Linked DNA regions of Arabidopsis thaliana. The protein of the gene in region 2 interacts with the protein of the main gene of each other region in a pairwise test. Each region holds a gene or a part of one and is shown on either strand. Other genes may lie near its edges. The genes, in order: RABA3 and PRA1.B4.

Region 1 (4,378 bases), on a different chromosome or scaffold from region 2:
CACTCTGCAAACTCAGATAAATCCATCTCTTCTACTGTTCCCAAAGAATGGCAACGACTAAAGAAGAAAGCAATATATCTTCTACTGTTCTACAGCAATGCACACAACACATCAACAACCAAATCAACAACAGAAATTAAGGAAACTGGTCTCTAGTGTATGCTCGTTAATGGGAAGACCTAAAGCAATAACAAGTTTACGAATGACGGGAATAAACTCGACATCACTAATGGCTAATGTCCAGAATCAGTAATCATTAAGCTTTACCGAACTAATTTTTAATACATTACAGATATACTCAAGCCAATAAGTATCCCTGGAAATCTCAAAACAGATCAATTTGCTTCATCTCTTTCACCTCAAAGATTAAAACTTTGCACAACATTCCAAAATTTAATCGAAACAGAAACTATTGAGCTGTGAGACAGAAAGAAGCAGAGTACATAAAGGATCTGCTAAATTTGCAATGGTAAAACAAACTCTAAGAAGGTTGCAAAAGTAGAAACTTTCAAAATTGGCAGAGGCAAAGAGACGGAGAAGATGATCATCAGTCAGTTCATTCCTCACGCCAAGTGAACTCGCACTTCAAGCATCTATAAAATCTTGATTCTGGCTCATCTGCTGAACGAATCTGCATTGATTTGAAGTATGCCTTGTCGTGGCCACACCTTGGACATGGGGCTGTTAAAACCAAACAATCCCAACATGAGAAAGAAAGTGAAACAAAAGTCTACTCTACTCTTTCCCCAAGTGAGATCAACTCTGAACCAACTCATCACAGTCCTAAAATTAGAAGAAGAGAAGACAAGAGACTGAAAATACCTTCAGTTTCAGCAGCTGTGGGTATATCATCTTTAGTCACAACAGCTTCTATAGATTTCTTAACCAGAAGTTGCTTCTTCTTTATCTCCACCTGTCAAAATTCCAAAGCACTCAGGAACAGAGGAGAGAATTTTAACGGTTTGCTCACAAACTTTCAAAAGGTATATAATTGAAAAAAGAACCTGTCTTTGGATGTAGGCGACGTATGGACATGTGGAACAGAAGAATCTCGAATTGCCACCTCCCTCGTATCGCAACAGATTCCCACATGTTGGACAAAACTCCATCTTCCACCACACCCTTCAATTCGCTGCTAAATCATTCATCCACCACATAAACCCTAAGTTTCTGTTTCTTCAACATTCTGAACCCTCTTTTTAGTTAGGAAATACTTTAATTGTTTCACCCCAACTTTTATTGGGCCTAAAATATCACGTAGGCCCAACTTATGCTACAATCCATATATTTAATTTTTCAGCAACACCATATAAAAACTAAAGAAATAGACCAAAAAAAAAGCAATAAATTCATACATGAGGTAGAAGTAGACAACAACCAACAATTGATGGAGCATAAGAGCTTTTTTAGGTGGTCTCCAGACAAATCGTGGGTTTCATGTTGTATCACTATATTGATTTAGCAAAATAATAACGTTTTTCAATTATGTCGGTCCATGCCCACAAGCCACAGCTATATTTAAACATTGTATATTCATTTTGAATCATATATAAAAAGCTAATTAAAATTATATATAAAAGAAGAGCTAATTAAAATAATGCACAGAGCATTGTTGCTGTCTTCATATATCAACACTTTTAGGTTAGGATACTCAATATTTAATTTTAGTTTGGGTTATTTCAACGACTTAAACCAAACCAAATTTACGAAATTTTGGTTTGTAGCAGTTTTAGTTTTATTAAATATGGTTGCGAATGGTTATGAGTGAATCCAACCAATCTCACTGAAGTGGTTCAGAATTTTTGTTAATTCGGTATATTCGTACTGAACCATATAAAACCAAATTTCTTCTCCTTTCTTCTCTTTTCTCTGTTTCACTCACTCCCACTTTACTCAAAAGAGACTTAAACTTTATAGTTGTTTTCTTCATCAGCGCAATAATGAACGAAGAGATGAGCGGTGAGTCGCCGGAGAATAACAAACACGTAAAGAAACCGACGATGCCGGAAAAGATCGATTACGTGTTCAAGGTGGTGGTCATTGGAGATTCTGCTGTCGGGAAAACGCAGCTCCTCTCACGTTTTACACACAACGAGTTCTGTTATGATTCAAAATCAACCATTGGTGTCGAGTTTCAGACACGGACCATCACTCTTCGGGGCAAACTCGTCAAAGCTCAGATCTGGGACACCGCCGGTCAAGAGAGGTTATATCATCTATATCCAAAAACACATTGATAATTCTTTATATATTTTATTAAGCTCTCACTTTTGGATTCAAATCATTTGTTTAGACTATCACTTCATTTCACTTGGATCACGGTAATTTAGATATGGTTTGATTTGATTTTGTAACTAAATATATTTCTAATACAATATGGAATATTTTTGTTGGGTAAAGAATTGTGGTATGGATTTGAATAACCATTGGTGTTCTTGATTTGGTTAATACAATGTCAGATTTCTTTTCTGCATATTTTGTTTTTGTCTTTTTGCAACCACTTATAGATCAAAAGGTCAAATGCAATAACTCACCGAATACTTTGTTGCATACTTGCATAAGTAAAACTTTATATTTTTCTTACCGATGCAAAAGTTTCTTTTAATATCGTTTTTTCATATTATTTTTCTTGATAAAATATGTATAAATGTTGCGTATATTTTTGTTTTGCATTAATTAAAGAGCGAAGAAATTGCAGTCTTACATTGATAATTCTTTATAGCTGAATCTCAGATTTGTATACAAATTAAATGTTAAAATAAACTAGAGTAGAATTTCGTTATATTATCTAGGATCACGATATTTAAATTTATGGGATTTTGAATAATTATTGGTCTTTCTTGATTTGGTCTGCAATGTCAGATTTTGTTATAATATATTCAATTAAAAAATATTTGTTTGCTTACCCTGTTTCGGCGGTCAGATACAGAGCGGTGACTAGCGCCTACTACAGAGGTGCGTTAGGTGCGATGGTGGTTTACGACATTACCAAACGCCTCTCATTCGACCACGTTGCACGTTGGGTCGAGGAATTACGTGCTCACGCCGATGATTCCGCCGTGATCATGCTCGTCGGAAACAAAGCCGATCTCTCCGTTGGTAAACGTGCCGTTCCTACGGAGGATGCAGTCGAATTCGCCGAGACTCAACGGCTTTTTTTCTCGGAAGTCTCGGCTCTAAGCGGCGGAAACGTCGACGAAGCTTTTTTCCGTTTACTCGAGGAGATTTTCAGCCGCGTTGTTGTTTCGAGAAAAGCTATGGAATCCGACGGTGGAGCCACCGTGAAACTTGACGGTTCGAGAATTGATGTCATCTCTGGTTCGGATCTTGAGACTAGTAATATCAAGGAACAAGCTTCGTGCTCGTGTTGAAATTTTGAGTGATAGGCCATAAAATCAAAAGCCAATTATTGGGCCTTTCTTTAAGCCCATATATGACTCGGATCTTTGTTTGGGTTTTTCATGTTTAGAGAATTAGAGGTGGTGCTTATAGTAAAATCAAAAAGCTATTCATGTGTCACTCGTAATCTCTTTGACATTCTTGTATATGTAAAGAAAAAACAATTCTTTTATTCTGTCAAGTTCCAAGGAGTTTCTTCTATTCAATCAAAATGTTAAGTAAAAACTAGAGTTTTATCAATATTTCTAGCAAGGAATTTTTTAAAAAAAAAGTCTAAACTATATGGTAGTGAAATGATGGAGATTTGTTTTCAAAGATTAGGATAGTGAAATGATCAGAACCACAATAAGTTCATTAAGTAGATATTTCGTGACATCAATTGTGAGTGTCACGTTAGAATCTGGAATATAATCCAAATCTAATGGAAGATATGATTCTATTTATTTTTGCATGCAACCGAATCATTTGAAGTGCTCCAATCACAAACTCGCTTTTCCTCTTATGACCTAAAAAGGAGAGTATATTATATAATCAGATATATAAAACATCACACATTAATATTTACATTGTATCTAAGCACATATGATTAATCGGCCACCAAGTGCTTTGTGACTACTTAGTTTTCTATGCTGATACCTCTGTATTATGTGTAAAGTTACTAATTAGTTTATGTATATTAGCAAAAGAAAGATTCTTATATAAGAACAATGTAAATTACTCCTTTGAACTTTTATATATTTTCAATAAACGATAGGATCGAGTTAAGATAAGTATATGTATTAACTGAATTAAACAAATACTATAAGAAGAAATTTGGATTCAGGGCCACAATGTTATGATAAATTTTGCTGGTGTCTTAAACACTTCGACGATCTATATATTTTACTAAAGAGGTGACAATTTTTGCAGGAGATAGCTATAAAAATTATATTTAGCCTTGATAGTTACAGATTAGTAGCTATCTGTTATTTACAACGAA
Region 2 (3,757 bases):
TACGGTGCAAGCCAGCAATTTGACATCTTCCACTTATTACTTTTCTGACAAACGTGTTTCTTTTTTTCTTTGTTTCAAACTATACTATAAAAATAAATTATTATTCCATGGTTACTTTTTTGAAGACGTTTAGTCCGAGACTTTTGGTACTCTCATTGGACTCTTCCCAGCTCAAATTGCGCGCCAACTAACAAACTGTAGCTTTTGCCTTCGCAAAGAACAATTTCTAAGTCACTGGCATTGACAAATCCCAAGTTCAAGGAGATTCTAGTTTCCGAGGTCAATACAACTTAGGATATTGCTTTGCTTTTGGTTATAGAGATATTTGCGACTAAGACTTTGTACTTTTTTGTAATTTACTAATTTTCGTTGATGGAAGATGTCAAATTGGTGACTTATACCGTAAGCTAAAACCCTTAAAAAGATAAGAATGTAAGGTGGATTGTCACCCAATACTATTAATTTTAGGTAAGTAACAAATCATTTTTAAAACGAAGCTTCCTTGTTGGCTTAGGGTATACGCCACCAATTCGATATTTCATAGACATTGGGCCTTTGCCGAACTGGACTCGAAAAGAAGTAAATGAGCTTATACTGGGCCGGACTCGAGTACGAAGCCCAATACTAAAGCTGCTCATCGAATTATTTGTGCATCGCATTTGCTCCGACCCACGATTTCAAGTCAAGTCAAGTAGCGTAAATGCGTAATGTGGATATTGTTCTGCTGCTCATCCTCAATAGGAAGTAATTTCCTTTCGTTAAATCCTACGACTCTGATCCAGGTCTGTCTTATGATGGGTGCTTTTGAAAACTGGTGAAATTTGGATGGATCTTGCATGCACATGCATCCAAATTTGACTCTTTTGATTGTATACACGCAGTGCAATGTAGTCACATAACAAATCAAAAGATGGCTACAAGTTCTAATAAACAGATCCATTGCATTTTGAATTTGATCATGAAATAAATCCATATCTTCCAAAACAACACTTGTAAATTAAAAAAGGCTAAAGATTAACACAAAACGGTAGTAAAACTTCATCAAATCAAAATCATGCAAAGATATATATTTCATCTATAGCTATTGCCCATGAACAAGAACCAAAATTAGGCCAGATCCACAACATTTTCACGTTTATTGTTTTCAGATTAAAAAAACAAAATCTAAGTATCAAATTCAACAAATGAATCATATAGAAAGATTTACCCAGGCGAGGGAATGGTAGATCGGAATCGCATTTACACGCGAGCGGCGATAACAGCAGGCGCGGCTGAAGAGGCGGCACCACCGAGGAAAGAGAGGAATCCGGTAGCAGCAGGCTCTTGCTCATCAAGGAAAAGATCTTCCGGAGCTCTAAAAGCACCATGAGCACAGATCAACGCAACACCAATCATCATAGCCGAAACCAGAACAGATCCAACATCGGTGAGGAAGATCACAAAGATACTGAACAAAATCAAACACCCTAACGTCTCACGATCGGAGAATGTACGACCGAATAGAACGATCGGCTGATCCGTGGGACGGAACAAGTAGAGGAAGAGCCACGACGCGAGGAGACAGAGGAGGAAGACGAGAGAGAAAGGATGAGTGACGAGAGAGAATCCGACGATCGCTGTAGCGACGGTGAGGTAATTAACCTTGAAATACGAGTAATTCTTGCGGATACGAACAGCAGCGTCGGAGATCGACTCAGGTTTGGATAATGCGGAACGATCCGCGAGCTCAGCCCAAGGACGACGCTTAGAGAGACCGTTTTTAACGGTTTCGGTGATCTGATTGATGAAATTGCGGAAAGCTGGAGTAGCGATCGGTGGTTGAGATTCGACGGAGGAAGGAGCGGCGGATGGAACGGTTTGGGGATTGGAGATTGGGAGGACTGGTGGTGCTGAGGAAGCCATTGGAGATCAAGTTTGGTAGATCTGAGAAAGAGAGAAGAATTAGGGTTGAAGAAATTGAAGAATTGGGCAAGATCTGATTAATAAATTAAAGAGGGAAGGAGAGATAGATTTGTTTTATATACGGGTATGAGAAAATTGTTGACCTTCCTATTTCTTTCGTTGCTACGGGTCACCGACAATAAACGTGACTCTTTTCCTTTTTGGTTTTCCTATTATTATTTGATTTAATTATGATCTATATTAGGTTAAATCTCGTGTTTTAGGGAGATAAATGTTAAAGAGTTTTATATTTATATCTATTTTTTCCAAAATTTTAAAAGTGAATGAAACTATTATATTGAATTTTATTTTTCCGATAACGGTATATTACTATTTAATCAAGATTTATTAAGGTAATGGATACATTCTATGATTTTTGGAGGAGCTTATGTTATGGACAGTTGACCGGACACGTATACCAACTAATCTCATGGTAATCTCAAGCAAAATCACAGATGACTGCTCGTACGTCAAGTGTCTTTCGTTTATGATGAAAAGCAGGACTGGGAATATTCTCTTAGCTCAGCCTGAGAACTTGGCTCATGATGATGATTTATCACAATCGCTTCTTAGTCAAGTAACTGCAGTGTGGCTTTGGACAAGCCTATCATATGGAGGAAAGCCTATCTTCAATCGTGGGATCTCACAACTGGTCACCAAGAAGTGGACAAGTACTTCAGTTCAAGGGGAGACTTCAGTTAACCAATAACAGAAACGATGATGGTTATGAGACAGAGGATTACACAAAGGTGGGTGAGTCATCTTCAACACAGAGAACACCAATAACCATGTCTCGCTCCCGGCTCCACAAGAGATTTCGCCGCGGCTGAGATTGGCGTCTTCTGGGACATGGAGGTTGGTGATTGGGACTTGGGAGTGAACTCTTTTAACTCTTTTATTCAAATCTTTCAGTTTGTTTTCTTTCAATGAAAAGCTGATGGAAAGTCTCAGTAGTTTTGATCAATGCGTTATTGATTAGGCAGTCTTGTTGATTTCTTGAGATGTAAGTCATTTAAATCTCTTGTCTACTACAATGGTTTTGTGGCTTAAAGAGGTGTCAGAGAGTTGGCCAAAACAGAGGCGAATGCAGAGTCAAGTGTTTTGGCAATTTGTCAATGCTATATCATATGTGGCTACTACTGCAGCTATACACATTGCCAACAACAATCCATTGTTTCATTAACGCACCAAAGTCATATTGTGAGAAGAAGAATCCAAGCTACTTTGATCATGGCTCTACACTTACGAAGAGAGAATTAACTAGGAGATGTGTTTACAAAACCATTGTTTCCTAATCATGTTCCAAGTCTCATTGGATATTAGATACTACCTCAGTTTAAAATGATAAGTTTGTTAGTCCCTTGAGTCATATGATGATTTAGTTAGTCTCTTAACTGATTGTTCTATGTATACATATTAACTCTCAGAGTATAAAAGAAGCTTTGTAATAGAATTAAGTTACTGAAAAATTCCATACTTCATCATCTTCTCTGTTTCGTTTCTCTGTCAATGCTAATATGGTCGTATTGGGATTAATTAGCCTAGATTAGCATTATAATAAAGCACTTGATGATACACTTTGTTTTCTTAAACTACTGGTTCACGTACAAAACAGAAAGAAGTCATCAACAGATTCAAAATATCACCTTAAGTTCAAAGCTATCTTTTTCTTCTTCTTCTTGTTCTTGCTCTCTTTGTTCAACAACACAGAGATCTTAGCAAATCCGAAACTCTTTCTCTTTCGAGTCTTCGTCCTTTTCTCATTCTCTTTCCCTTCACTTCTCTTGCTTACAGTTTTATCACTACTGCTATTCTT

Evidence for each region.
Region 1: the proteins of PRA1.B4 (region 2) and RABA3 interact in a two-hybrid assay, tested with the Arabidopsis thaliana proteins (one large-scale study listed by BioGRID).

Annotation. Positions count from the first base shown.
Region 1 is NC_003070.9:85,708-90,085, reverse strand, and holds RABA3 (RAB GTPase homolog A3), read left to right. Parts: upstream 1-1,676; 5' UTR 1,677-1,940; coding exon 1,941-2,206; intron 2,207-2,923; coding exon 2,924-3,371; 3' UTR 3,372-3,600; downstream 3,601-4,378. Other genes in the region: AT1G01210 (DNA-directed RNA polymerase, subunit M, archaeal), read right to left, coding at 557-681, 823-913, 1,005-1,109. UniProt on the Arabidopsis thaliana protein: Intracellular vesicle trafficking and protein transport.
Region 2 is NC_003071.7:16,068,601-16,072,357, forward strand, and holds PRA1.B4 (prenylated RAB acceptor 1.B4), read right to left. Parts: upstream 2,065-3,757; 5' UTR 1,903-2,064; coding exon 1,240-1,902; 3' UTR 786-1,239; downstream 1-785. Other genes in the region: AT2G38350 (uncharacterized protein), read left to right, coding at 469-708; AT2G38365 (endonuclease/glycosyl hydrolase), read left to right, coding at 2,330-2,650; AT2G38370 (weak chloroplast movement under blue light protein (DUF827)), read right to left, coding at 3,584-3,757. UniProt on the Arabidopsis thaliana protein: May be involved in both secretory and endocytic intracellular trafficking in the endosomal/prevacuolar compartments.